7 linked regions of the Macaca mulatta genome follow. The protein of the gene in region 2 interacts with the protein of the main gene of each other region in a pairwise test. Links are inferred from orthologs where the notes say so. Each region holds a gene or a part of one and is shown on either strand. Other genes may lie near its edges.

Region 1 (4,023 bases), on a different chromosome or scaffold from region 2:
AGGAGGGTGTTACCTCCAGAGAGTGAGCCGCAGCCCTCTGGCAGAGCACGGGGGACTAGGGGTCAACAGAACAGCTGTCCCCTACAGCTCAAGATGTGGCCGGCACTTACTCTCGGAGCTTCTTTTTATCTTCTGTGAGTTTCTCTCCGGCAGAGGTCAGATGGTACGTCCTCCACACATAAGACCTGCAAGAGGGGAACGCAGGTAAACCACACGCTCTGAGCATGGTGAGCTGAGTGGCTGTGCATGGCGTGGGCTTGAGGCATTCAGCCCTATGGGACCTGGGGCAGCTGTCCTCCCTACCTGGGCTGTTCTGTACAATGTGCAAATTGGCTCTGAGGCGGCTGCACGGAGGCTCTGTTCTCAGAGGCCTGTATGGGGCGGCTTGGACAAACACACCTTGCTAATGCAATAGGTGACAGTGTTGAGACTCAGTGAACAGGACAGTTGATCCAATAGGAGAGCGAGGGCTGCCAGCACCCAGGTGAGAAGGGGATGGTAGCCACTACAGGTGTACCATCCATAACTAGGGAGGCCACTTCCACACACACTGGAAATGCCCGACGGGGTCCCCAAGTGAGGATATCCAGCAGCTTGGATGGGGTGATGGCGATGAAAGCAGTATGTTAGGGATGGCCGAGGCAGGAGTCCCAGGCACAGAAGGACCTGCACTGTCTGAACTCTTGTGACGGGGAGCTCATCACTTCAGTGGTGCTGTACTCATGCAGAGTTGAGAGCTGTTTCCAGGTGGTGCCTGGTGACAGTGCCAAGAACAGCACTAGCCCCAGGAAGGGCTATAATGAAGGGATTGTCGTTCCACTTACCAGCTGATGTGCTGAATGCCCCCTTCACGCTCCTGCTTGAGCTGCACGTATCTCTGGATGGCCTTCTTCAGGTCCAGGACGGTGGCACTCTGCACTACCACCACAGCTGCAACCACGGACACAGATGGGAGAAGATCCACAGTGAGAACCCAAAGCCATAGCCTCCGATGGCAGGAAAGGAACCCGGAAGCTCTGTGCACAGGGCAGGTTTGTGGTTGCCCCAGTACCCCTGGGCATGGCCTGTGAGTTGCGGAGCAGGCTGACCAGCACTGTTACATTTTGCTGCTGTGAAAGCCTGGACCACATAACCTGAAGGGAGGAGGGCACACTTACGCATTACTTCTCCATCCATCTTGCACACTCGGACCGTCATTGCCTGGCCGTATTCTAGGGCTATTTGGGAGTTGACTTCTTCCAAAGTAACCTAGAAAAGACCAAGGGCAGAAGTGGGAACCCTGGCTGTCTTTACAACAACAAAGAACAAGCTGACAGTGGCCAAAAAGTGGTGCTCCATTTTACGAAGGGCAAGGAAGGGTACTTGCATATATGTTAGGGTTTCCCAATTCATCAGAGCCCCAATCTCATGTTCCACTCACATTTTAATGTCCAAAGTGGACAGAGTCTCTGGGGGAAAGAGGTGTTAAAAAACAGGCAAGAGAATAAACGCACATGAGGATCCGTCCCCAGGGGTGGGTGGGGGCCTGTCAGTTCACCCTGAGTATCCCTGATCATCAGGACCCAGGCCAGGGCCCAGGACTGAGTAAGGCAGGTGTACACAAAAAACGGTAATAACAAATATTTTAATACAACATTTAAGAAATACAAGGCAATTAAAATATCCATGATGAGCAAAATATAAAACATTTAAAACTGGCCGGGTGTGGTGGTTCACGCCTGTAATCCCAGCACTTGGGAGGCCGAGGCCAGCGGATCACTAGATCAGGAGATCGAGACCATCCTGGCCAACATGGTGAAACCCCGTCTCCACTAAAATACAAAAAATTAGCCGGGCGTTGTGCCGCGTTCCTGTAGTGAACCCGGGAGTGGGAGGTTGCAGTGACCCAAGATCGCACCACTACACTCCAGCCTGGCGACAAATCAAGACTCAGTCTCAAATAAATAAAAAGTATCGTGCCAAAGCATATTGACGCTTGAGGCAAATGGAACTAAGTTTTTTCGTTTATCGTAGGGTTTTTTTTTTTTTTTTCATCACCTTTGACTTTTAAAGCTATTACAGGCCGAGTGGGTGGCTCACACCTATAATCCCAGCTTTTTGGGAGGCTGAGGTAGGAGAATCGCCTGAGCCCAGGAGTTTGACACCAGCCTGGGCAACATAGTGGGACTCCCTCTGTACAAAAAATTTAAAAATTAGCCGGGTGTGGTGGCGCGCATCTGTGGTCCCAATTACTCTGGAGGCTGAGGTGGGAGGATGGCTTGAGCTCAGGAGGTGCAGGCTGCAGTGAGCCAAGATCGCGCCACTGCACTCCAGCCTGGGCGACAGAGCAAGACCCTGTCCCCCCAGCCCCCTAAATACAATTACATTAAAATTTCATTTAATGTCACTCACTAATGAGGTTTTTGGTTCCTCTTTAAACTTCGCGCCGCAGGCGAGTGTGCCTGGCCAAGGTAAAGACCCTTGTTTACGCCCAGAGGCGCCTTCCTCAGCCTTGGGCCGCAGCCTCCCACCAGCACCTTCAGAGGCTGCGCGCGCCCGGACGCCCGGCCCCCGGGGAACGACTCCCGCCCCGCTGGCCCCCGCCAGCACACACCTGGATCGGCAGATCGCAGAGCAGCGGGTCCTGCACCACCATAGCCAGACCCTCCTGGAACACGTCCATGGCCTCGGAGTGCGGCAGCGCCTCTTCTTCGTCCTCATCTTCCTCTTGCGCCTCGGACCCACCCGCGGCCTCCATCTCCTCCAGGGCCGCACCTCTCAGCCGGTCTCTGCCGGCACTTCCATACGCACTAGGGAGGCCAAGCGCGCACGCGCAGGAACTGCGGCCGGTCCCAGCGAGGCCGCCCAGCCATTGGTGCGCCGAGGGGTGGGGCGGCTGCAGTGACCAATGACAAGTGCGAGACAGCCAGCAGCAGGGCTGGGAGCGCAGAATCGCCCTGTCTATTGGTTGGTGGGCGGGGCGAGGCGGCCGCCAGGACCAATGTAAGCTCGAGGCGGGCCGCGCGTCGGCGCTGAGCGGCAGTGTGAGCTGCCGGTGGTTGGCGCCTGCGGGGTTCGAGACCATGCTGCTATTCTGCCCCGGCTGCGGGAACGGGCTGATCGTGGAGGAGGGACAACGCTGCCACCGCTTCGCCTGCAACACGTGCCCCTACGTGCACAACATCACCCGCAAGGTGGGACCCGAAGGCCGGCGCTGGGCCGCGGGCGCCTCTCGCAGGCCTTCCCCTTCCTCCGACTGCGGCGCCATCGCCGCCAGCCCCGGCGTCTGCCTCTGTCCGCTCTTTCTCGCTCCCCCTTCCGGTCTGCAGCAGATCTGTGGGCTCTTTCTGTGGGCTCCAGCACACTCAGAAAGCCCCACCGTTTCCCGCCTCCTTGGGTTCCTGCTCCCACGCTTGCGCCCTCCTCTGCGTTCACAGCAGCGGCCACGGCGATTCCCTTAAAGCTGAGGCACGTAGGTCCGTGCTGTGCGCAGAAACCTTCGGCCGTTCCCCAGCTCGTGCAGACGAAAAGCCGGAATTCTTCCAGGGCCTACCATGTTCAGACACTGACCCCCTCCCCGACTTGCTTCTCCGATTTCAAGTCCTATTGCCCTTTGCCCCATCAACACCAGCCTCCTGGACGATCTCTCATGGTGCACATGGCGCTCGCAGGGCCTTTGCACTTACTGTTACTAACTTCGCTCTTCCCCTAGATAGCCACCTTACTCATTGGTCTTGTCTTTACCGTATTTTAAATTGCAGCCCCTCCGTCCAATGTATCCTCCTTCCCTTTGTAATTGTTTCCACAGGGCTTGTTACCTTCGAATACATTACGTAATGTATCGTGTGCTTTGTTTATTAATAGTAGGACCTGGCCGGGCGCCGTGGCTCACGCCTCTAATCTCAGCACTTTCGGAGGCCGAGGCGGGTGTATCACTTGAGGTTAGGAGTTCGAGACCAGCCTGACTGACATGATGAAACCCCATCTCTACTAAAAATACAAAAATTAGCCGGGCATGGTGGCAGGCGCCTGTAATCCCAGCTA
Region 2 (3,941 bases):
CGATCAAAAATACAAAAATTAGCCAGGCGTGGTGGCCCACGCCTGTAGTCCCAGCTACTCAGGAGGCTGAGGCAGGAGAATCGCTTGAACCTGGGAGGCAGAGGTTGCAGTAAGCCGAGATCGCGCCATTGCACTCCAGCCTGGGTGACAGAAAGACTCCGTCTCAAGAAAAAAGAAAAAAAAAAAAGAGGAAAATTCATGTATTTAAGACAACCAGCAGCTATATTTAAAGGACCATAGTTAGCCAGAGCAGAGACAAGAAACCTGTCATTAAAATGTATAATTGGTGAAGCTGTATAATGGGTACAATATATTATTCTACTTTTGTGTATGGTTTATAATTTCCACGTTACAAATCCATAATGCATCAAAAAATAGACTTTAATGTAAACTTATGCCAAGTGAAAAATAAATGGCATGTATCCGCCTCTTCTGTTGCCTTCTATCAAAGTCAGGGTCCAACCAGGGAACATTCCTTTTCTAGCCCATTCATTACTCGCTCTTACCAGGTCCTTATGTGTACCCACTGGAAGATGCAAATGGGAAGAGCCAGCTTAACTTATGTAGAATGGTGCTGAAAATAACCCAGGCAACGTATTAGTAAGTTTTCAGTAGAAACTTTGGAACATTCTTGAGAACTGACCTCAAGACGGAAAAACTGAACTGCATGGAAGATTATTCCTTTGAGAGAATTTTTCTTGTGTTTTTAAGAGTCAGGAGGATCTTGCTCTGTTGCCCAGGATAGCGTGCAGCAGCCCAATCATGGCTCACTGCAGCCTTGCACTCCTGGGCTCAGGGAGTACCTCTTGCCTCACTCTCCAGAGCAGATGGGACTACAGGCACAAGCCACCACATCTGGTTGTGTTTTTTTTTTTTTTTTACATTTTTGTAGAGACTGCATCTTGTTATGTTGCCTTGGCTGGTATTGAACTCCTGGCCTTAAGCAATCTTCCCATCTCAACCTCTGGAGCAGCTGAGATTACAGTCAAGAGTCACCGTGCCCAGCTCTAGATAAATTTCTGTATAATGTTCCCTGGTACAATAAAAACAAATCCAACTGAGGGTCTGTGCATGAGTCTATATCTGTCATCTAAATGGTGTGTCTAACGTCTTTACCCTTTTATTCCCTCTAGAAAGACTAAAGTTAATCAATACAATTTATTATACCAAAATGCCTGTGGACTTCTCATGACTGGAGTCAAACTACTTATTTTTTTTTTGAGACGGAGTCTCGCTCTGTCACCCAGGCTGGAGTGCAGTGGCCGGATCTCAGCTCACTGCAAGCTCCTCCTCTCGGGTTCACGCCATTCTCCTGCCTCAGCCTCCCGAGTAGCTGGGACTACAGGCACCCGCCACTTCGCCCGGCTAGTTTTTTGTATTTTTTAGTAGAGACGGGGTTTCACCGTATTAGCCAGGATGGTCTCGATCTCCTGACCTCATGATCCGCCCATCTCGGCCTCCCAAAGTGCTGGGATTACAGGCTTGAGCCACCGCGCCCGGGCCAAACTACTTATAAAAGCAAGTAAAACTTAATTGGAATGGAGTTGAAACTAAATGTTAAAGTTATCTTTTCTACTTTGTCTTTGCACTGTTTCGGTGGAGGGGACTATACTTCTCCAGCTGCAGGCTGAGAATGTAAAGGAACAGGTATCAACACTGTCCTCATGAATACTGTAGCAAATGTACTTTTGATTTTTAAGTGTGGTTAGTCTGATATCCAACTTTGGCTTCCTGGGGAGTAAATTCTACAGGTTGATTCACCATTCTATTACACTTGTTTTTTATTTGCTCTTAAATCAAAGCCTTTAAAATTAAGCCTGGAGCTTCAAATTAACACAAAGAGGAACGGAGTGTAGTCTTTAAAGTTTCTGCAGGGGAAAAATTTTAGACCGGATAGACGCGTGTTCAAGCCTAGAACTGGTACAGCTTGAAACCACTGCCAGTTTGCTGAAAATGATTCCTCAGATGATCAAGGAAAATCCCAAAGCTCCTGATGACCCCTCACCTGGTTGAACTCCTCATCAGCATATATATCAATCAAGTCCACTCCTTCTGACATGGCTCCGGAAGGAAGATCGCGAGCCCGGAGGATGGACAAAGTAAGGAAGATGCCACTGCGGGATTCGGAAAAATGCAAGAATTAGAAGGCATGAGGGTCCTGGCCTGGGAGGAGGGCAATGGTTGCTAACCTCCCATCTCCAGAGACGCAGCATCCTAGCGGCCCGAGCTCGGCCCCACCCGCTCCGCCCCGCCCCCGGCCTCGCGCCGCCCCCCGCTCTCCCAGGCCGCCGGGGGTCGCTGCCCATCACCCTCGGGCCCGACCCGGGTAGCGCCGCGTCGGCGCCGCAGCTGCCTATGGCGCGACGGAAAAGTCCCACCTTCGGCTCCTAGGGGCCCTAGGACCGCGTTGCGAAGAAAGACCGCGGCGAAGCCCGCATCCCCTGTCCGTCGCACCTGCCTAGGCCCCAAAGCAGCTCCGGCCAGGGCCCCCGGGTGTCAAGCTACTCCAGCCGCCTCTGCTCCCCACCCAGGCCTACTCTTCGCCCCCAGCTAGGCCCGCCCCGCTCCCTCCCCACACACCCGGCCCGGCGCTCTCTCTGCCCCCTCCCTCAAAGGCCCGCGCCTCCCTCCGCCCGCAGACTCCGGCCGTCCCATCTCAACCGACCCCCTCCCCGCCTCAGCGCCGGCCCGGACCCCTCTTCCGGCCCAACCTGCCCCCGGCCGCGCGCCCCCGTTACCGGGAATATGGCGGCGGCAGCGGCGAGTCCGGACTAGGCCCGAAGCGCGCGAACCGCTCTCCGCCCCAGGTCCCGCCCCCCCCGCCGCCGGCGTCACACGCACCGCCACTTCCGGCATACGCAAGGACGCACCTTCCGCTTCAGGTCCTCCGTGGCTGCCGTAGTCGGCTGGCCGTGAGGCTAGGAGTTCCCGGAAGTGCCCGGGCAGCCGGTTTCCGGTGCAGGTGGGGAAAATGGCGGTGTCCACAGTGTTCTCGATTTCATCGCGGGTGAGGAGAGAGAACGTTCTAGCGTCCGGGGCGGGCGGCAGCGCGGATTACACTTTGTCTTCTTCTGTGGTCTCTATCTTGGGGAGCGTTCGTCTGCCCGATAGCCTAGGGCAAGGGCAGGCCCAGGGAGAGGCCGATTCTGCAGCTCAGGAAATAAAGGTCGCTTCCATTCTTTGGTGAGCCTACTGTGTGCCGGTCTGGAAATAACTGCTTAAACGATAAGTCATCGTCCAAGACTCAATTCACCTCTCACCTACGTCGCAGGTGGGGTTAGCCCAACTTCCTCTGGACGCCCCTTCTCCGCGTTCTTTAGTCGTTAATGCCTTTCGTGGTTTCACATAGTATCTTGAGCTCTTTGTTTTGTTTATAACGGACATATAATAATTGAACGTGTTTATGGGAGTACAGTGTAATGTTTTAATACGTGTGTACATTGTATAATCAAATCAGCGTAGTTAGCATGTCCATCACCGCAAATCTCTATCATTTCTTTGTGGTGATAACTTTTCAAGATCTTTTTCTAGCCATCTTGACATACACAGTACAGTGTTACTAGCTGTAGTCACTCTAATATGTAATAGAGCACTGGAACTTATTCTTTTTTCCTATCCTGCTCTTACAAAGTAACGAACTTTGTCTCTATCTTCCCCTCCTACCCCCATCCTTGTCTTTGTTCTTTTTTTTTTTTTTTTTTTTTTTTTTCCTATAGACCCAGGGACTTGATCTTTATTCTGTTTTGATGTAGGTGTTTACACTATAAACTTCCTTCTTAGTACTGCTTTTGTGGCATCTCACAATTTTGTATATGTTGGGTTGTAGTTTGTCTCAGGATGTTTCCTTTTTGTTTGTTTTTTGTTGTTTTCCTTCTTTTTTCTTTTTTTTTTTTTTTTTTGGAGAGACAGGGTCTCACTATGTTGCTCAGGCTGGTCTCAAA
Region 3 (3,500 bases), on a different chromosome or scaffold from region 2:
CAAAGGGCCAAATTCACATGCAGGGAGGGGGCTGACAAAATGAGTCTTGCTAGTGACTGTGCCAATAGCTAAGCTCCTCACTGGCAGGACTTCCAGTGGTCCTGAGGGTAGAATGAGGTCCTGGCTCTGGCTAACCCCAGAGAGGGGTGCCCCACCCCCACCCCCGCCCGGGGGGAGTGGGAAGCTAGGTGAAAGAACCCACCCTGGCAGCTGTTTCTCTGAACGGTCAGCTGGGAGAGGTGAAGGGGCAGCGCTAGTGCCTGGTGGTAGGAAGGGGCCAGTGGTGAGTGTGGGCTCTGGATGGGAAGCCCAGTGGGGTAGCGAGAGATGGGAAGAGGAGATAGTGAGGGTCAGGAAGGGAAGAGAGGGGGCAGGGGGAATGGGACACAGGGCCACAGGGCAGGGAACTGTGTCCATAAGAATCAGGCGATGGGGAGCGCTCGATTACAAAGTAGTATTTGTTTGGGGGGGGGTTCAAGTGCGGCAAAGCAACCTGATTGGCTTCCATCCATCGTGTAGCGTCCTGCAAGTGACTAAACTCGACGAAGGCGAAGCCCCGGCTCTGACCTGGAGACAGCATTCAGATACAGACGCAGTGGGTTAGTCAACAGCTTTGGACACACGGCGTTCCCGGGGGCGGGACCCGAGGGGAGAGGACGGGGGCAGAGAGAGGGAAAGGGGAAGAGGAGAAAGGAAGAAAGAGAAAGAGGCAATCAGAGAGAGAGAGACTAGCAGGTGTGGGGGGCAAGGTAGATGGCCAGGTGGGGCAGGGAAGGCGGAGGGAGAAAAACAGAGACCAGAGGTCGGTAGTGGGAGAGACACACACACCAACTGGGAAGAGAGAAAGAGATAGGGCTCGGGCAGACCTGCCGAGCCAGCCTGGGGTGACAGAGACGGAGAGAAGCAGCCGGGAGGGAAAGAATACGAGAGATCTGCCTCCAGAGAAGGAGGTAGGGGACGGTGGGCAGGCTGCTGGCTCCACACAAGCCACAATACGTAACTCCAGGGCGGACCCGGCTCGAGGCCAGGGGCACCCAGGAGGGGTCCTGTAACAGGTGTTGAATCACAGGAGCAAAAGAGAAGCTGGGCCAGGCTGCTCTGTGAGGCTAGGAAGGCTCTTGGCCCATTGAGAACCAGGGGCGGTTAAAGACACGACCTCATCTCAGCCTCACCGCAGCGCAGGGGAGGCGGGCCTCGCTAGGGAGCCACCTCAGGGCCACAGGGTGGAGACTACAGCCACAAACAGTCCAGGTTCCCCTGGACAAAAGGAGAATGGTGGCCAGGACTGGCCAGGAGGACCTTAGAGGTAAGAATCAATGGGTGCCTGGGAGAAGCGCCCAGGGCCATCGAGGGGTCTGCACCTGTAACACCTTGGGGAGAGAGAGACCCAGAAGCTGTCCATGTGTGGTGTAGTTGGGGTGATGCAGAGCAAGACCTACATGCAACCAAGACTCCAGGCTTAGGAAAGGGATTCAGGGTTGAGGCCTCAGGATAGCATGTCCTTTAGAGGCAGATACACGGGGAGGGCTTGGATGAGAGGGGCTTGGGGGGGGGGCATGCTTAATGTTCAAAAGAATAACCGTTAGGATGCATAGGAGGATGGAATGAATAATATAAGTGGGGGGGGGGCAGAGAGAGAAAGAGAGAGAGGGAGAAAGGGAGAGAGAGAGAGAAAGAGAGAGATGGAGGTGTGGGGAGGAGAGACTGAGAGATGGAGAGAGAAGCCCAGGCAGAGTGAGGCCCCACTGTGCCTGCCTTGGGGAGCCTGGGCAGAGGTCCTGTAGAGACAACTCCCCCCACCACCACCCTGCTAACCTCAGGCCAGCTCCAAGCAGCCTGCAAGAGGGAGGGAGGGAACAGGCGAGGCCAGGAAGTCCTGGCTGTTCCTTGGGATGTGTCCTTGGATAAGAGCCATCCCCTGCTTCCCCCTTGGGACACACACGTGGGACCACCACGTCAGAGCTACTTTCTGGTCAGAGGCTGTTACCAAAAAATGTAGGGGAAAGTGAGGGGCAGAGGAAGAAGAAAGGAGAGGGAAGGGAGTGTATGGGAGGGGGTTACCATCTCAGATACTCAAGAGTCCCAGAGAGGAGATGCCTGGGAGCCTGGCCCTGGCCGTGACCCCGGGGAGCACCCAGCTCAGCTCAGAGCTGCACCCCTGCCCCGACAGCCCCATTGAAGAGGCTTTTGGCTGGAGCTGTGAGGAGAGTGTGGGGAAGGGGAGAGAAGAGAGGGCACCCCCCACACTGCCCATTCCCAGCTGTGGCAGGAAGGTGGTGGAGGGAGTCGGGGAGAAGGCAGAGGTAGGAGGGAGATTCCGAGGCTGAGGCTGGCCACTGGAAGGGGAGGGCACTGGGAACAAAAGCTCACCTGAAGATTTGTTCCGCATCAGCCGAACCTCCCGTGCTTGCACGCCGTGGGACTGCAGCTGGCCACGGATCTATATGGGGAGATACAGAGTGGGGCAGGCTCAGCACAATGGGGCCACTGGGTACCTGAGGCTGGCTGGAGGCCTCTGGATCCCAAGGGGTCATCCGTGATGTGCACACAGTCTCCTCTGCCTCTTTCGCAGCTTTTCCCTGAGTGACAACAGCCCCAGGCCCACACCAGTTCACAGTCTTGACTTTCAGCCCCAGACTTGCAGAAAGTGAATCAAATGAAGAAATGGGCACAGAGCAAGGTAAAGCATGGCAGCAGGACGACCCTCAGGGACACAGAGAACAAGAAAGCAAGTGAGCCAGCCATTTAAGAACGGTGGGCAGGGTGATCTGACAAAGGGCTCAGTGGCAGCCACGAAGTAAGGAAACCTGGGAAGTAATTCTTGCCCTTGGCAAGGGGATAACCCACGCCCCCGCCCCTGCCCCGCTGACCTGCAGCTTGCGTCAAAAGAGATCCATGACATAAATGCCAAACTGGGGAGGACAGGAGTCTGAGCAAATCCCAGCCATGTACCCTAGACCATGACTGCAGCAATAACTTAGGGTGGAGACAAAAAGCAAAAAGATATAGTCCTGGGGATTGCTTCCTGGATGGAGTAGGCCAGAGCGAGACTGCAGAGGCAATTCAGGATTTGGAACAGGTGAGGCAGGGTCTCTAGGCCAGTGAGGTCTCTCACAGAGGACCAGGAGCCTATGCCAACCATTCTTGGGAAGGAGTCTTCATGTCTCTGGGCCTCAGTTTCCCCACCAGGTTAAACAAGACAGGAGATTAGACTTACACACACCCATACACAGGATGAAAAGGAAAAACACACAGAAGAGCTTATCAGGACTCCAAACTCAGGGAAGGCTGAGGAAGCAGCAAAAAGTGCGCTCTGGGGTCCAGCTGCCTGGGTTCAGACTCCAGCTCCACTCCACCATTCACTGGCTGTAAGACCTCAGGCAAGTCACATTCCCACTCAGTACCTTCCCTGTTGGGATGCCATGGGGACTGAATCACACCTAACACATGGCCCATCCTGAGATACATTCTCAACAAATGTCAGCAACCAGCTACTGTCT
Region 4 (4,140 bases), on a different chromosome or scaffold from region 2:
CCAGCCTGGGCGACAGAGCGAACTCCGTCTCAAAAAATAAATAAATAAATAAATAAATAAAATAAAATAAAATAAAATGTGTTACTTGATCCTATCAAGACTTTCAACCCAATTTCTAGATTATAGGAAATAAAGGGGATAAAGAAACAAACCACAAAGAGGCAATGAGACAAACCGGAAGGGGGAACATTTGCATTCCTGGTTGGGGCCTTCAAGAATCAGTGTTATGAAATGAGGGTCTGTTTAGGGTTACAAGCGATTTATCTCTTGGGGCCAGGAGTTCAAGACCAGTCTGGGCAAGACGGTGAGACCGTGTGTCGACAACAAATTAAAAAAAAAAAAAAAAAAAGCCGAGTTCGAGACCAGTCTGGGCAACACAGTGAGATCCTCTCGAAAACAAATTAAAAACAAAAAAAAGCCGGGCATGGTGGTGTCCACCTGTAGTCACAGCTACTCGGGAGGCTAAGGCAGGAAGACTGCTAGAGCCCAGAAGTTTAAATTTATGGTGAACTATGATCACACCACTGTACTCCAGCCTAAGTGACACAGTGAGACCCTATCTCAAAAAAAAGAAAAAGATTTAAGATAATTTATGTAGTGACTTCCTTCCAATGGGTATAATACATAATACGTAAAGAGGGGAAAGAAAGAGTAATTTTACAGTGGAGAAGCCTGACAAGACTTCAGCCAGGTGATCACGCGCGTGTTGCCCAGGCTGGAGTGCGGTGGCTATTTACAGGTGCAATCATGCAATCGTAGCACACTACAGCCTCAAACTCCTGGGCTCAAGCGATCCTCCTATCTGGGGCTACAGATGAGCACTGTGCATGGCTTGAAAAAGGGATTTTTGTTTGTTCTCAAAATTTTGTCTGCTTCAAACTATTTCCCACGGCCTAGATCTAAGCTCCGGCAAGCTCTGGTGCTGCTTAACTCTCTATCCTCTTTTTGTGCCATTCTCCACTTCACTATAACGATCCTGCCACATTCATCTTCCTTCTGGCTCCTTCCTGTTTTAAGGCCTTTGCCCATGCTGTGTCCCTGCTAAAATGCCTTTCTCATGATGGCCAAAACAGAAGTAACCACCACCTTCTACTGCTGTTTCTCATCACCCCATTTATTTGCTGCTGAGCATCATCTTTTTTGTTTGCTAACCACCTGTCCCCCCTACTAGAATGTAAGCTCCTGAGGGGCAAACACTTCCCCTAACTTGTTCACCATACTCCAGCATTTAGAGCAGTAGTTTACATATACGGTACATGCCCAGTAAATATCTGCCCAGTGAATAAATCAATAGGTCTTAAGATCATAACTACAAAAGAAGCCGTAAGTTACAGACTGCAAGCCATCTCTGCTTCTCCTGATATGAAAACACTAAATATGAGTTACTTTTGTTTCTAAGACAGATTCTCGTTCTGTCACCCAGGCTGGAGTACAGTGGCCCAATCCCAGCTCACTGCAGCCTCGTCCTCCAGGCTCAAGCAATCCTCCCACCTCAGCCTCCTGAGTAGCTGGGACACCACGCCAGACTAATTTTTTTTTTTTTTTTTTTTTTTTTAGCAGAGATGGGCTTTTGCCAGGCCGGTCTTGAACTCCGGGACTCAAGTGATCTGCCTGCTTCGGCCGCCCAAAGTGCTGACATTACAGGTGTGAGCCACCTCACCCACCTGAAATTGTTGTTGTTTTTTTTTTTGAGACGGAGTCTCGCTGTTGCCCAGGCTGGGGTGCAGTGGCGCCATCTCGGCTCACAGCAACCTCTGCCTACCGGGTTCAAGTGATTCTCCTGCCTCAGCCTCCCGAGTAGCTGGGATTACAGGCGCCCGCCACGCCCGGCTAATTTTTGTATTTTTAGTTAGAGACGGGGTTTCATCATGTTGGCCAGACTGGTCTCGAACTCCTGATCTCAGGTGATCCGCCTGCCTCGGGCTCCCAAAGTGCTGGGATTACAGGCGTGTGCCACCGCGCCTGGCTACAAAACTGCTCTTTTTAAAACATCTTTTTTTGAGACATGGTCTCACTCCGTCGCCCAGGCTGGAGTGCAGTGGCGCAGTCTCAGCTCACTTTGGCCTCTGCCTCCCGGACTCAAGCAATCCTCCTGCTTCGGCCTCCAGAGTAGCTGGGCCTACAGGTGCACACCACTGTGTGCGGCTAATTTTTGCTCCCGCTTAGCTGGGATTACAGGCACTCGCCACCATGCCCAGCTAATTTTTGTACTTTTAGTAGAGACGAGGTTTTGCCATGTTGGCCAGGCTGGTCTCGAACTCCTGACCTCAGGTGATCCCCCCGCCTCGGCTTCCCAAAGTGCTGGGATTACATGTGTGAGCCACCACGCCAGGCCCCAAGGACTCACTTGTAACTCACTTACCTCACCCCGGCCCATTTAGCCATCTAGCGAACGGGCCCAGCCCTTACCAATAGCAAACTCCACCAGGGTCTCGTTCTCCTCCGACAGCGAATCGAGAAATAAATCCAGGACCTGCAGCTGCCGCAGATACTCGTAGTTGCTGGGGTCATAAGCGAAGTTGGCGAGGTTGGCGAGGACTTGCTCCTTGGCGTCTGCAACGGGAAAGCGGCACTGGAGCCAGGTCCGGGCGGCGGTCACAGCCGACCCTGTCACCTGGTCCCACCGTGGCTCTCACCTTGGCTCTGGGTCTCCTGGAATTCCGTGACCAGCGCCTGCAGGTATCCCAAACGCCCGACGTGGGGGTCCAACTTCGGCTTCTGGGCCATGGCCGGCGTGACGGAGGACCCCCAGGGACGGGCGGGCGGGTGGGAAAGGTGCAGGGGGAAAGCCGAGCGAGACCCTCACCCACTCTCCACCTGTCTGGCGAGGGAAGACGCGGGGACGGCAAACGGGTTTCTTTCTTGGGTTCAGACTCTGCAGTAATTTGCAGCTGGAAATGGAATGTGGGGAGATGGGCCGGGGTCTCAGAATCCTGTAGGAGTTGGGTCTGAAAATCGAAATTGGGGCGCGGGAGACAGGGAACCGTCTGCGGGCTGGGGCTGGCGGAGTGGGTACTGGCGCCCAGCCCCCGGCTGCCGGGCTCGGTTCCAGGCTCCCGGCGGAAGCCGCGCTGTCCCCACCCTACAAGGCGCGGAAGGGGCGGGACGAGGCAGGCGAAGGGCGGGGCCGTCGCCGAACTCCTTGGCGCGCGTGCGCGGCGCGCTTTCGGTTTTCTGGCTGCGGAAGCTCTTTAGCCTGCGCTGGAACCCGCTGCGACACGCTTCGCCGAGGGAGGTATGGGCGTGGGTGGGTGTACTGCGAGGAGCAGCCTTGTCTCCCATATCCTATGTCCAGCTGCAAATTATTGCAAAATCTGAACGCAAGAAAGAAACCCACTTGCCGCCCCCGCCAACAGGAAGGCGGGTGAGGGCCTCTCTCGGCTTTCCCGCCCCACCTTTCCCACTCTCCCGCCCGGCCCCCCGGGTCCTCCGCCGCCCCGACGTGGCCCAGAAGCCGAAAGTGAGGCACCCATGTCGGGCGGCTGGAATGACGTGAGGAGCAACTCAGGAGCGCAACGGAGTCTGGCAGCACCCATGTTGGGAGGACGTCGAGGCAGAAGCACCTCCAGGATCCCCATGGCTGGCGGGGCGCCCCTTTAGAGCGCGGGCGTCAGCTCCTTACCCACCCCCATCAGTCTTTTGACCCTTTTGCAAAAAGCGTAGCGACCCCGACCCGTCCTCTATCCCAGCCCCGAGGTGAGTCCGCCACCTCTGGACAGAAATCAAAGGGGACGGGGTCATGTCCTGGTGCTTTTTGTCAGCCGGGTGGATGGCGCGCGCCCGGGGCAGCACCGGGGAGCCGGAGGAAGAGCCTTGTTTGTGGCGCTTTCGGGGCTTTCTGGATGCTGAAGCCCTTCGGCCGATTCCTTCTCGAGGATTCTCGGGAAGCAGGTGTGTGATGGATTACTACTCGTGGTTACAGGGAACAAAGCACCAGGGAAGGAGGTGGCCTTACTACACTCCCATCGCGTTTGACAACGTAGGGGTAGAGAGGTGGCTTAGGCTGTGAGTGTCCTGAGAATGCAAAAGTTGTTAATCTAATTGGAGTCACTTGTGTTAAAAAAACAGAACAAAAAAACCCGGACAGAGTCGGAGAAAACCATGACAAGAGGGTTCTCATGCATAAATATCTGATAATGA
Region 5 (4,155 bases), on a different chromosome or scaffold from region 2:
TGTATAAATCCAAGTTTTGTTTTCTTATTCATCCTCATAGTCACTTACAGGGGAATGATTTATGACACATTAAGGAGGTATTCTTAAGCTAACATGTCTTAATTAGGAATTCAGATATTCCTCTTCTGCTGAGAAATACAGAGCTGTTCAAATTAGACCAGAAATTAGGGCCAAAACGAATGCAGCCTCTACATACATAAGCTCATTGCAGGGTAACCAGTGAAAGGCAGAGGCTGAAGACACACAAGTCATTCTGCGTTTGTCTCCTTCATGCTAAATGATTCTTTGACTGCTTTTCCTTTCACTTTTCAGCGTTATGATGGAGCCAAAGGGTCAAGAGATTCACAACCCTACAGCCCTCCCCTTCGTTCATCTGTAGCATAAAGCATGCATTTCCTAAGAGCTGGGTGTGGGGGTCTCTTCATCTACCTTCTCTTTCATTTATTTAGTGAAATGAAGCTTATTTAGTAATGACGGAAAGAGATGAGCCAACTAGGGCAGCTCACATATGGTGCCAGACGGTGAGGGACTCTCTCTGTGCCCAAGGCACTTGCTGTACCACAGGAGCTAGGCAGCCCCGGGTGGGAAGGAAGCTCTGCTCTTAACCAACGGCTGCTCCAAGGGTTCCCCCAGCCAGGTGATCCAGACAGCTATGGTTTCAAAGCTCTGTGAAAAATGAGTCTCTGACTTGAAGACTTCAATCAGGCAGCCTCTCCAGGACTGGGATTACTCCACTAATACAAATTAAAGCCATTCAGAAGTATGCTAAACCCTTTTTTAGATACTAGAGGAGGATGAAAAGAGGGAGGAAAAAGAAGCAAAGTAATTTTGCAAGATTAGGATTATACTGTGGTTTATGCCAATACCTTACATTTGTTTACTTCTATATTAAAATGATTAAATACTCCTGAAATAGGAGCTTTAACGATTTTAAACATTTCATATATATTATTTGCAGCAACACCCAAGGGAGAAGGGTACTATTATTATCTGAATTTTACATGCAAAGTGACTTGTCCAATGTCACACTTCAAAAAAACAGCAGAGTTGGAATTTGAGCCCAGGCAGCCTGAAGCTTGCAGTCTTATCTACTGTGAGCTACAGCTTTTCTATCATATGGCACTAACATAGTTATATTTAATCATGCTCCCGATATTGGACATATATATATATACACACACACACACACACATACATACACACATACATATATAGGCACATACATATTTTTAAACTAATGAGCAGTATAACTTCAGATACATGTCTAATAAAGATTTTTTATTAAATACCTTTTCACTCTTTTTAAGAAATGAAACATTATGCTTTCCACTGAAAAATGATTGCTATCTAGTGATTTCATAGTTGTCTAAAAATACTTGGCCAGAAAGGAAGAACTTAAAATTCCCTAGGACCCTTCCACTACTTCTGGATTTAATATTATTTCTGAAATGTCGAAATCTGGTAAGTTTCAAAGATGCTACTGTCTAATGGAGGAAGGTTCTACAAAACAGTACAATTTACTTACAAATGACCCCCCCACCCCAAAACCCAAAATACATGGAAACACCATTTTGCATAATCAGTCAGCAAAAACTCCTTTTGTTTTCCAAATTCCCAGCATTGGAAAATTGTATTAAGTAGACACTCTCATAAACTGCCTCTGGAAATACAAACTGGTATGACTTTACTGGAAAGTAATTTGGGAACAAGTTACCAAAAGCCATAAAACTTGAAAACTCTTACATTTACCAGTGTGCTGCTAAGAAATTAGCCTAAGGAAATAATTTGCAATGGGAACTAACACAGAGCTATAAGAATATTTTTGGCACCATTAAGGCAATAAAATGGCTGGGCATGGTGGCTCACACCTGTAATCCCAGCACTTTGGGAGGCTGAAGTGGGAGGACTGCTTGAGGTCACGAATTTGAGACCAGCCTGGGCAACATGGCAAAGCCCCTTCACTATAAAAAAAAAAATACAAAAGTTAGCCAGGTGTGGTGGCATGCACCTGTAATCCCAGCTATTAATACTTGGGAGGCTGAGGTGGGAGGGTGACTTGAGCCCTGGAGGCAGAGGTTGCAGAAAGCCAAAATCATGCCACTGCACTCCAGCCTGGGTGACAGAGTGAGACCCTATCTCAAGAAAATAAAAAGGCAAAAAATTAGAAACGACTAACTGTCCAGTTAGAAGGGATATAAATTAAATAAATTTTAGAATATTTACTCAATGGTATACTATACAATCATTAATAATTATACTGTAGAAAAATATCTGTTGCTATGAAAGATGTTCAGAATTACATTGTTAGGAGGAACAAGACTCTTAATAATCTCTACTACTTCTACAATCTCTACTACCATTTGATGTTCGTCTCTCCAGGTGAATTTATAAACACTGCCTTCAGAATTATCAGCAACGCCTCGTCATCTATCCTAACCAGTGACCTCAAAATAAGTAGAAGTTACTTCCTTTCCCACAAAAAAGCAAGGGTTTCATTTTTATAAAAGAGACAGTAGGGAGAAATGGAGTCTACGTGAATAGATACATATTTATGTTCTGTGTGTATGTTTGTGTAACCAGATATGTAACCAGATATGTATCTTGGGGACTATCTTGGGGACTTTACAACTCAGTGATAATTATTTTCCTTTAAAGATTTTGGAGACGTTTACCTGTACCATGTGCTTTCATCACAATGGAGAAGCATAAGCTATCAGTTCCTTGCGGCGGATCTCTTCACGAAGATTTTGCTTGAGTAGAAAGGGTGGCAGTGGAGAATCTCAATGTAAAATGCCTAGACCTGTAATTATAAAAACAATATTCCCACTGAGTTAGGCAGCTTCTGTGGTCTTCATTCACATTTGCTGATGTCACAGAAACGGGAAACATCATATTGCATAATCTCTCTCATACACACATGCACACACACAAGCGTGCACACACACACACACACACACACACAAGATTTTTAAATCACAATGTCAAAAACTCAGCAGGCAGAGACACAGCAGGTTCCTATCCCCAGAGATGAGTGGGTTCTGGCCAGGGGTTGCTTCCCACCCCATCTCCTCACCTTAGGGACACCACTATCAAAATAATCCTGTTCCTGCCCCTCCCTCTCTGCTTAATGATTCTAAGATTTCTAAGAAATAAAAAGCAGTCAGTTCTTCACAGAAAATGTCAGAAACAATGCTGAATTTGATGCTCTCTTTCTCTAAGACTCCTTCTAGCCACACAATTATGCAAATTCAGTGCATGTATTTACCATTCTGGCCTGACTTTCACTTTTGAAACTACACATGCCTCTTTGTTAATAACTCAGTTAAGACATGGTATCAGCGATGGCCAAGGTCATCACGAACATTGATTAAACATTTACTATGTTCTGGGCCCTGGACTGAGGGTTTTACACACATTGCCCCACTCCATTGCAGTCTGTGAGGTAGCCAGGAATCATGATTACCTCTGCATTATTGACAAGAAAACTGAGAGTAAATACAGCCAACAGATGTTAAAGCCAGCACTTAAGCCAACCATTTACAGAGGTCATGCTTAGGATTCTAGTACTATACCATCGCTTCAAAGCTGATATTGCTATCAACACTTCTGTAGTTAGTATTAAAACATGTCGGGGCGGGGCGTGGTGGCTGACGCCTGTAATCCCAGCACTTTGGGAGGCTGAGGTGGGTGGATCACGAGGTCAGGAGATCGAGACCATCCTGGCCAACATGGTGAAATCCCATCTCTACTAAAAATACAAAACTTAGCCAGGCATGGAGGTGCACACCTGTAATCCCAGCTACTGGGGAGGCTGAGGCAGGAGAATCACTAGAACCGGGAGGCAGAGTTTGCAGTGAGCTGAGATCACACCACTGCACTCCAGCCTGGTGACAGAACAAAACTCTGTCTTAAAAAAAAAAAAAAAAGCATCACATCAATATCACCTCATTTTCCCCAGAGGGTTATGTCACCTAAGTCTTAAAATTACTATTATTTGTTTTGGATTTGACTGTACTTTGATTTTAATTCCCAAGCTCAACTAAAACCAACATGTTCATATTTCAATTGAGTGTAAGTTGATGGTTATTTTCGTAAATTAAAAATGCTAAGTAATCCCAAATCCAGATGCCAAAACACTAAGCAGAAACCTAAAAT
Region 6 (4,106 bases), on a different chromosome or scaffold from region 2:
CTTGCCATCCCTCTGGATGGGAAAACTAATTTCCTAAGCCTCTGAAGTCAGTTGTGGGGAGTTTCCAGTTCACTTGTGAAAACAGTTTTCCCAAACATCGCTCATCATCCTCCCCTGCAGTTCCGGGAAGCAATTTTGGGCTCTTGTCATTAAGCCTCATTTTTAATGTCAGAGAATGAATTCCACAAGCCTTGTCTCCCCCAGTGCACATGGCAAGCCAGTCCGAGCAGTTAGAAAAATGGGTGTCCCATAGAGCAGCACAGCCTGCTCTAGCCAGGGCAAATTAAGCTAGCTCAACTGATCAAGTAAAGGACTCCAGTACATTCTGCGCCATTCGCGGAGTCTTAGGGTATTTTAAAAGGTTATCCAGTCTGTGCACATGCAAGGAAGATTTCCGGTGTATTTAAAATGGATGATAGTGCATTTCTCAAATATAGTACTGTGTACATAAGATCTGCTGTTTGTTGGAAAAGCTAAATAACCCAAAATGTAAATGACAGAGCCTGGGAATATGTCAGGGTCAAAGAGAGCAGGGATGAAGAAGATTTAAGTATGCAGCGCGTCCTAAGCAAAACACAAAGCCTGAAAACTGAGCACAGCCACCTGCAAGGCACCTTCAGCGAGCCCCACGGTTAACAGGGTCAGTTTCTCCACAAGTGGACAGAGGGGCTTATGCAGCAGCCAACTCTTCCTGATGGTAATTTGTGACCCAATTTCATCCAGTGTTTCATGATCAATCCCCCTGAATGTTTATGAAGCAGGAAAGAAGCTCAGAATCCAGGAGAGGCCTCCCGGACAGGAAGTGGGCCAGGCACCTCCACAGCTTCCTATGCCTAAAGTTCTCCATTTCAGCCTCAAGTAGCCACCAGAAGACCACTAAGATTCCGCCACCTTCTCCAATCAAAACTACATCTAACCAACCTCCAGGGGAGAATATACTGAGGTAGGATTTTCCCTTGTGTTCACTTCTTCACAAGCAAGGTTAACACTTGCTTCTCAGGAAATCCCTGTTCCAAACATCAAAAAACTTCCATGTCTAGCCCAATCTCCAGGTGAAGTCAATTTCTTCTCCACGTGTCCGATGACCGCCATTCTCTTTACATAAAACTCGCATAGGCTTGAATCCTGTTACTAATTCACCTGCTTATCTATGAAGCTTGGAAAGTGAATTGAGGGAGTGTTCACAAGCACAGTTCCGTTTCGGTAAGGTAAAGCAGCCCAGGTTAATTTCATTTTCCGTCACTTTTGAGACTTGATAACTACATCTAAAACAGAGGCATGAAAAACACCCTGAATCACTTTCATTACTACACAAAATCCCTTCCGAGAAGCGGGGACTGGGCCTGGGCCAGGAAGGGACTCCCCTACCTGTGGGTCCCACCAAGCCACGCCCACCGGCCTCTCAGGGTGGTTTCTTTCTGGGTCGAGGGATGGAGCTGGCCCATGCGATATTTTAGGCCCCCTCCTGCCCACACTGGGGCCTGCTCATCCCATTATGCATATGCAAACTTGGCAGAAGCGGCCTTAAACCTGTTGGCAAAATAAACAAAGCCAAATAAAGAGGAATCTGCCAACCTGAATTGTGAGAAGTGACCAAGGCCGACTACACGACTCCACGCCCGCTCGGCTTTGTCCCTGAAGCTGCTACAAAACTAGTTTAAGTCAGGTGCCTGGGGTCCACCAGCCAATGACCCCTAGCATCCAGCGCAGACCTTCACAGAGATCCTTATTGTCTACAAATTACAGCGTTTTGCAAATTAAACCCCTCCCCACAATGCCAAGCTAACTGTGCTCATAAGGGAGTTACCGTCCATGCCTTAAAACTCACACATCAAATTTTTCCAAAACCACTGGGTGATTAAATCGCCCTGAAAAACACCGAGAGGGCCGAGCGGTTGTGAGAAACTTTGGTTCAGGTGGCTGTAAGAGTCCTGTAAATCTGGGGCAGGGCGCAGAGCCTGAAGCCGGGCACAAAAGCTCCCTTCGCCGAAGCGAAGACCTCCTTTATGCGATGTGACAGCAGCTTTGTGCGCGATCATAAATAGTTGTAATAAACACAGTTAAGTTCTCCCGGCCGATCGCGGCCTCCCCGGTCCCTGCGCCGGGGCCCTGCGATCCGCGGCTATTCTTCCCCGGCACACGCGCCCTGGCGACCCTGGCCACCGCACGGTCCCACGCTAGCCCCGAGCTCCGTGCCAGCCGCCCGCCCGCAGGCCAGGCGCAGCCTGCGCACCCGGGGGTCTCCAGTCCCCGGGCCCCGCCGCCGGGCCCCCTGCCCTGATCCCCGCCCGCGCCCTTGGCTGGCGTCCCCGCCTCTGCGCCGGGCCGCGATGGTGGGGGTTGGGGATGGGAAGGCGGGCAGGAAGGTGCCGAGCCGGGAGATGCCCGGCAGCCCACAGTCGGGGGCGCCCAGGCCGCGGCGGGGCCGAGAGTACCGGTGGGGCGCGGAGGCGACCCGCTCTCGCAGCCCCTTCCCGGGCGCACCCCGGCCCACGAGCCCCGCCGCGCTCCCAACTCCGCCCAACGACCCCAAGTTTGTGGCCCCCTCCCCGCGCCCGCCTGGCCGTGCTTACCTCGCTGTGGGCCGCCCGCGGAGCCGGAGGGCAGCGGCGCGGGTCCCGGGGCGGCGGCCGCGCTGCGCCCGCCCAGGCGCCGCTCTTTGTCTGCGCCGCTCCCTCCTCCCGCCGCCGGGCGGACGCTGCCGGCCCGGGCGGACCCCGCCGGCCCGGGCGCCGCGAGCCTCCCCGCAGCCGAGCCCTCCCCTCCGCCCGCCGTCCGCTCGGCCGCGCGGCTCCGGCCTGACGATCCCCGCGGCGGCGGCGGCGGCGGCGGCGGCGGCGGCGACCCTCCCCCGGCGCGCAGCGCCCGCCTCCTCCGCGCTCTTCCTCCTCCTCCCGCGCTCCTCCCCGGCAGCGCCGTGACGCCGCCCAGGGGCCGGCCCAGGCCCGGGCACGCGGGGCGGGGCGGGGACCCGAGACCCACCTGGGGCGCCCCCCGGCGCCGCCAGGCTCCGCGCCCGGGTCTCGGTACGGGCGCGGGTATAGCGCGGGGCTGCGGGACGCTCCGCTCTGGAGGCGCAGCACTGGCCCGGCGCCGGGGACAGGAAAGGGTCCCCACGCCCGAAATTGCGCGCGGGCGGTGGGGGGCAGGCTGGGTGGGTGGGGAGGAGAGTGAAAACATAGGCTGCAACTTCCAGCCTGGGATGCCTGCCGGGTGGGCTTTGCGTCCTCTTGTTTGTTTGTTTGATGTCCTTATCGCGAAGCTGTAGTTGCTGGGCAGCCGCCCCCCTCCCGGAAGCATTCCCACGGCACTCAGCTAAGCAGGCCTGGTGTCCATCAGAAAAGTGACTTAAATAAAAATGTCACTTCCTCCTTGTAATTGCTTGTGGGCATTTTTATTTATTTGTCTTGCATCTATTTACTTTCCCAACCAGACACGTTTTTAGTCCATCATCCCTGTCTGAGGCACTTCCTAAAGGGAGAAGAAACTCGACCTCTGTTGCCTCCCAGGCATCCAGGCCAGCCCCAGCCAGTGGAATCCTGGTTGCACACCCATGGGGACAGGATCCGAAGAGGAGCTGCCCGAATGTGCCCCTAGAAGGAGTGTCGCTAATGATGGGACTGTTCAGCTCACCCAGCCTCAAGTTGTGGCTAGCCTATAAACAAACTTGGAAGATTAAAACCCAAAAGCAAGGGGAAAGACGCAAGTTTCCCTTTCACAGACACATGCATCCGGATGTCTTTTCTCCTCCCCATATGGTTTCCCAAAGGAAATCCTAATATTCAAATGATTCTGATTTCCTGGCAGGATAGCCTGCATCCATGTTAATGAGATTCTTTCTTAGGCTGCTGGTCTCTGCTTACTATTAAGACAATAATAATTTATCCAAGGTTACAAGGCAGTATTATTTGATTCAGTCATCTGCTTCCTTCCAGAAAGGAAGTACCCAAGGACAGGTAACTAGAGTCAGTGTAGCTTTGAAGTCAGACAGGTGAGTGTTTGTTGACTTCCTGAACTGTGTAACCTTGCACAGGTGGTCTTAGCCTTTCTAACATCTGTCAAATGGGGAGATAATATTTACCTACCTCCTATGTGAAGGACTCTGG
Region 7 (4,300 bases), on a different chromosome or scaffold from region 2:
GACACTACCTTCAGCCAACTACTTAATGCAACAGTTTTAGCATATAACTAGTATTTGTTGAACAAATAATGAGTGAGTGACCCTGTATTTGAGTATCTCTTCCTGAGGCCTCACCTTCGAGAACGGACATGGTAGCTGTCCTCTCGCCGGCGCCGTCGAGTCCGGTCACTACTACTTGACCAGGAGCGACTTCTTCGTCGCTTATGCTTTCGGCTTCGATAGTGTTCACGGTAACTCCCCCGGCTGCCTCGCTCTGAGGAATGGTACCTTCGAGGATGAGGCATCTGGAAGGGAAAGGAAAGTGGAAATAGGAAAGTTCCGAGTTTTCAGAAGTCTCCTCCAAGGACTGGCTGCTCAAAAGATGCTAAGCTGCTTTCCCCTCTTTTATTTCTGCCTCTTTTTACCACGAACAACTTCCTCAGTCTTCCTCTGTACTTACAATTCCTCCTTATTGGAGTATAGCCACCTACTAACTCTGGCTGAAACTCTAGAAAGCCCCCAAACCCATCCCTCATTACCCTCCACTCAGTTCAAGTGTTATTTTTTTCTTGAGACGGAGTCTTCCTGTGCGGCCAGGCTAGAGTGCAGTGGCACAATCTCAGCTCACTGCAACCTCCACTCCCGGGTTCAAGCGATTCTCCTGCCTCAGCTTCCTGTGTAGCTGGGATTACAGGCACATGCCACCACTCCTGGCTAATTTTTAAATTTTCAGTAGAGACGGGGTTTCACCATGTTGGCCAGGATGGTCTCAAACTCCCGACCTCAGCCTCCCAAAGTGCTGGGATTACAGGCGTGAGCCACCGCACCCAGCCAGTTCAAGTGTTCTATCCTTATTTTCTTCACACACAGCTCCATGAAGACTTTCAGGTCTAGGACAGAGTTAATTACAACGGGAAGTGTATGACGAAGATAGAGACTGCCACAGTGTATCCCCGGTCAGGATCTAAGATATAGATCTGTGCGATGCTGAGTTCCTCACAAGTCAATAAAGCTTTGGTTTACAGTTATGATACATGTCGTACACTCACTAAGACTACGTCTTATCTCCCCAAGTAGACTATCAGTGTCCTGAGGGTAGGAATCCAGTCTCCCAGGTTTCTACATATACCAGGTAAACGCCAAATACTATCAGTTCCAAGGATCTGGGTCGGGCCCTTTGAATTAATTTAATCATCTCTCACATCTTTGGCCAACTCTACCTTGAGAGGTTTTAATGTAGTAGGCCACAAAATACAGTCAGCATCCCATCTAGCCCCTCCACTCTTGTGCTTGAGATGTAGAGAATAACTGTTTTGTGTGTGTGTGTGTGTGTTTTTTTGAAACGGAGTTTTGCTCTTGTTGCTCAGGCTGGAGTGCAATGGCGCAATCTCGGCTCACCGCAACCTCCGCCTGCCGGGTTCAAGCGATTCTCCTGCCTCAGCCTTCCGAGTAGCTGGGATTACAGGCATACGCCACCATGCCCGGCTAATTTTGTATTTTTTAGTAGAGACAGGGTTTCTCCATATTGGTCAGGCTGGTCTCGAACTCCCAATCTCAGGTGATCCGCCCGCCTTGGCCTCCCAGTGTGCTGGGATTACAGATGTGAGCCACCGCGCCTGGCCAGTAAGTGGTTTTTTATTAATATCAGCCCTACTTAGCTGACAGCTGGCCACCTTCCAGTTAATGGAATTGGAATGGGATGGTTCACAAATCCTTTTTTTCCTTTAAGGAAAAAAGAAAAAAATCACTGTCACAATCCAGGAAGATGAGAATAAGAAGGCAGAATAAAATGAAACAGGCCCAGGGACAGAAGTCTTGGTGGTAGTGCATGAGAATCGGGTATGCAAAAGGTTTAACGATTCCAACGTCTGACCACCATTCTGTATTACTTCTTTCCAACCTCCCCAAATTGAGGAGGGTGGTATTTGATGCATTCTTGGTGTAACTGCGGCCGGGAGCATACCAAGATGCAAGCACAAGATTTTCCCAGCACAGCCATCCGAATCAGCATAGCCACATAAATGCCATCTCACCACATACTACCATCAAACGGCCTCACAGCACTTTCCCCTCAAAGCATCACTAGTCTACCTTTCTAAAGTTTGAAATCTTTTGCTTTTTCCTTTCTTACTCAGAAAATCCAGAACTCCTACAGGCAAATTCTTCCTGCATGCTCCAAGTGACGCGGTGATGTATTCCTCCCCTCCAGCTTTGATTGGACCCCTGAGTCCAACTTTGATATTCCACTCCTTCACATCTCTGGAACCACTCCCATCCTTACTCTATCACCCCTTCTAGTCTGGCTCCGCCCAAGTTTCCTACAGGTCTTCTCAGTACATCTAATGCAGGCCGACCTCCTTTCCCCTCATCTCCCTACTTCGCCGCTTCGTAGGTCTCAACTCTCCTCCTCTCCAAATCTCGCCCCCGTCCCTTGCCCCCAATCCAAGCCTAACCCCGCCCGCCCCGCGGTCGCCATCTTTTCGCGCGGCCCCGCGGTCAGCCAACCCGCGCGCTCACCGTTCTGGCGGCGAGGCCCGTGCGCTTGTCCCACAGGAAGTCCGTGATGGCGGCGGCACTGCGGCCGGAGTCCCGGCACCCCCGCGGCGACGAAGTGCTGCTCCACACCCCCAACCCGGGACCCTGGGACCTCCCGCCCCGTTCCCGGGCTCCGCTTCAGTCCCTCCCGCCCCGGCTCCGTCCCCGCCCCTAAGATCTGCTTGGCGCCGCTCGCACCGCCCCCGCCCGGGGCCCGATCCCAGCTCGGTCTCCGGCTCTGGCCTCTCCGCTCCGCCGCCGCCGCCGTGAGCGAGCACGCACGCACGGACTCACGTCTTGCGTCGCTTCCCAGCTACCCCCTGGGCACCGCCCCCAGGACCGCGCGCGCCACCACGTGCTCACGTAGCTGGCAGGCGTCAGCCTGTCAGAGCCTCGGAGGTACTGGGGGCGGAAGTTCATAGGGGCGAGGAGGGTCCACAGGGACAAGCTGGAAGCCTTCCAGGCCCGCTATGCCCCGCCTCCTGTCCTTTCCCACTCCCTCTTCAATCTTTTACCCTTTGCATGGAGACGTGTGGCTTAGTTAGGTTTGGAGTTTAAAAGAAAGGATTGTCATTATCAATACAGTGTCGCTGCTCTGCAAGCCCGACTCTAGTGAGGCTTGATGGTGAAGTCTCATTCTTCTGCATAGCCTGAAAATAACCATTTCTTAAAACACATCACCTACCTATCCCCAGAACAAAAGTCTGCCACCTTTTGTCATCAGCAAAAGTTATGCACGACTCGGGGTGGGGTCACAGCCATGGGGGAAAGGTTTGAGCAATGGAGGGTTAGAGAATCGGGTGCCGAAAAAGGGGACTCACTTGAGAACTGTATCCTAAAGTGGCTTACATAATGTGTGAGAAATATAAGTTTACTAGGGCTGGGCGCGGGGGCTCAAGTCTGTAATTCCAACACTTTGGGAAGCCGAGGCCGGCGGATCACGAGGTCAGAAGTTCGAGATTAGCCTGATCAACATGGTGAAACCCCATCTCTACTAAAAATACAAAAATCAGCCGGGCGTGGTGGCATGCGCTTGTAATCCCAGCTACTCAGGAGGCTGAGGCAGGAGAATCGCTTGAACCCGGGAGGCGGAGGTTGCAGTGAGCCAAGATAATGCCATTGCACTCCATCCTGGGTGACAGAGCGAGACTCTGTCTCAAACAAAACAAAACATATATATGTACACACACATATGTTTACTACAGGCGCGCATCACCACGCCCAGCTTTTTTTTTTCTTGTAGAGATAGTGCCTCACTTTGTTACCCAGGCTGGTCTTGAACCCTTGAGCTCAAGCAATCCTCCCCCCGTCGGCCTCCCAAAGTGCTGGGATTACAAGCATCAGGCACCGTGCCTGGCCAGTTTACTAAATCTTAAAAAAGAACAGGAAGGCTGGGTGAGGTGGCTCACGCCTGTAATACTAATACCAACACTTTGGGAGGCCAAGGTGGGTGGATCAATTGAGCACAGGAGTTCGAGACCAGCCAGGACAACAGGGCGAAACCCAGACTCTACAAAAAATACAAAAATTAGGCCAAGTGTGGTGGCTCATGCTTGTAACCCCAACACTTTTGGAGGCCCAGGCAGGTGAATCACTTGAGCACAGGAGTTCAAGACCAGCCTGGCCAACATGGTGAAACCCCGTCTCTACTAAAAATACAAAAATTAGCCAGGTGCAATGGCGGGTCCCTGTAATACCAGCTATTCTGGAGGCTGAGGCACGAGAATCGCTTGAATCCGGGAGGCGGAGGTTGCAGTGAGCCGAGACGGTGCCACTGCACTCCAGC

The links.
Region 1: the proteins of CPSF7 (region 2) and SNRNP25 interact in binary tests that used the Homo sapiens proteins (3 or more experiments, as listed by UniProt). The two-hybrid records come from large-scale screens. The link is inferred for Macaca mulatta from reciprocal best matches to the Homo sapiens genes CPSF7 and SNRNP25.
Region 3: the proteins of CPSF7 (region 2) and RBM10 interact in binary tests that used the Homo sapiens proteins (3 or more experiments, as listed by UniProt). The two-hybrid records come from large-scale screens. The link is inferred for Macaca mulatta from reciprocal best matches to the Homo sapiens genes CPSF7 and RBM10.
Region 4: the proteins of CPSF7 (region 2) and ARMC7 interact in binary tests that used the Homo sapiens proteins (3 or more experiments, as listed by UniProt). The two-hybrid records come from large-scale screens. The link is inferred for Macaca mulatta from reciprocal best matches to the Homo sapiens genes CPSF7 and ARMC7.
Region 5: the proteins of CPSF7 (region 2) and ATXN1 interact in binary tests that used the Homo sapiens proteins (3 or more experiments, as listed by UniProt). The link is inferred for Macaca mulatta from reciprocal best matches to the Homo sapiens genes CPSF7 and ATXN1.
Region 6: the proteins of CPSF7 (region 2) and NCK2 interact in binary tests that used the Homo sapiens proteins (3 or more experiments, as listed by UniProt). The two-hybrid records come from large-scale screens. The link is inferred for Macaca mulatta from reciprocal best matches to the Homo sapiens genes CPSF7 and NCK2.
Region 7: the proteins of CPSF7 (region 2) and CLK2 interact in binary tests that used the Homo sapiens proteins (3 or more experiments, as listed by UniProt). The link is inferred for Macaca mulatta from reciprocal best matches to the Homo sapiens genes CPSF7 and CLK2.

Annotation. Positions count from the first base shown.
Region 1 is NC_133425.1:1,245,364-1,249,386, reverse strand, and holds the start of SNRNP25 (U11/U12 small nuclear ribonucleoprotein 25 kDa protein), read right to left. Parts: upstream 2,801-4,023; 5' UTR 2,738-2,800; coding exon 2,594-2,737; intron 1,249-2,593; coding exon 1,158-1,248; intron 931-1,157; coding exon 825-930; intron 186-824; coding exon 111-185; intron 1-110. Other genes in the region: POLR3K (DNA-directed RNA polymerase III subunit RPC10), read left to right, coding at 3,063-3,173.
Region 2 is NC_133419.1:12,615,896-12,619,836, reverse strand, and holds the start of CPSF7 (cleavage and polyadenylation specificity factor subunit 7), read right to left. Parts: upstream 2,801-3,941; 5' UTR 2,581-2,800; exon of another isoform or gene 2,379-2,580; intron 2,115-2,378; 5' UTR 2,060-2,114; coding exon 2,006-2,059; intron 1-2,005. Other genes in the region: SDHAF2 (succinate dehydrogenase assembly factor 2, mitochondrial), read left to right, coding at 2,972-3,166.
Region 3 is NC_133426.1:47,202,978-47,206,477, reverse strand, and holds part of RBM10 (RNA-binding protein 10), read right to left. Parts: intron 2,441-3,500; coding exon 2,371-2,440; intron 568-2,370; coding exon 494-567; intron 1-493. UniProt on the Homo sapiens protein: Binds to ssRNA containing the consensus sequence 5'-AGGUAA-3'. May be involved in post-transcriptional processing, most probably in mRNA splicing. Binds to RNA homopolymers, with a preference for poly(G) and poly(U) and little for poly(A).
Region 4 is NC_133421.1:84,791,292-84,795,431, reverse strand, and holds the start of ARMC7 (armadillo repeat-containing protein 7), read right to left. Parts: upstream 2,801-4,140; 5' UTR 2,728-2,800; coding exon 2,637-2,727; intron 2,554-2,636; coding exon 2,410-2,553; coding exon of another isoform or gene 2,378-2,409; exon of another isoform or gene 2,006-2,377; intron 1,705-2,005; exon of another isoform or gene 1,671-1,704; intron 1-1,670. UniProt on the Homo sapiens protein: As a component of the minor spliceosome, involved in the splicing of U12-type introns in pre-mRNAs.
Region 5 is NC_133409.1:166,497,879-166,502,033, reverse strand, and holds the start of ATXN1 (ataxin-1), read right to left. Parts: upstream 2,801-4,155; 5' UTR 2,673-2,800; intron 1-2,672. UniProt on the Homo sapiens protein: Chromatin-binding factor that repress Notch signaling in the absence of Notch intracellular domain by acting as a CBF1 corepressor. Binds to the HEY promoter and might assist, along with NCOR2, RBPJ-mediated repression. Binds RNA in vitro.
Region 6 is NC_133418.1:13,841,967-13,846,072, reverse strand, and holds the start of NCK2 (cytoplasmic protein NCK2), read right to left. Parts: upstream 2,801-4,106; 5' UTR 2,574-2,800; intron 1-2,573. UniProt on the Homo sapiens protein: Adapter protein which associates with tyrosine-phosphorylated growth factor receptors or their cellular substrates. Maintains low levels of EIF2S1 phosphorylation by promoting its dephosphorylation by PP1.
Region 7 is NC_133406.1:111,713,784-111,718,083, reverse strand, and holds the start of CLK2 (dual specificity protein kinase CLK2), read right to left. Parts: upstream 2,801-4,300; 5' UTR 2,497-2,800; intron 285-2,496; coding exon 115-284; exon of another isoform or gene 82-114; intron 1-81. UniProt on the Homo sapiens protein: Dual specificity kinase acting on both serine/threonine and tyrosine-containing substrates. Phosphorylates serine- and arginine-rich (SR) proteins of the spliceosomal complex.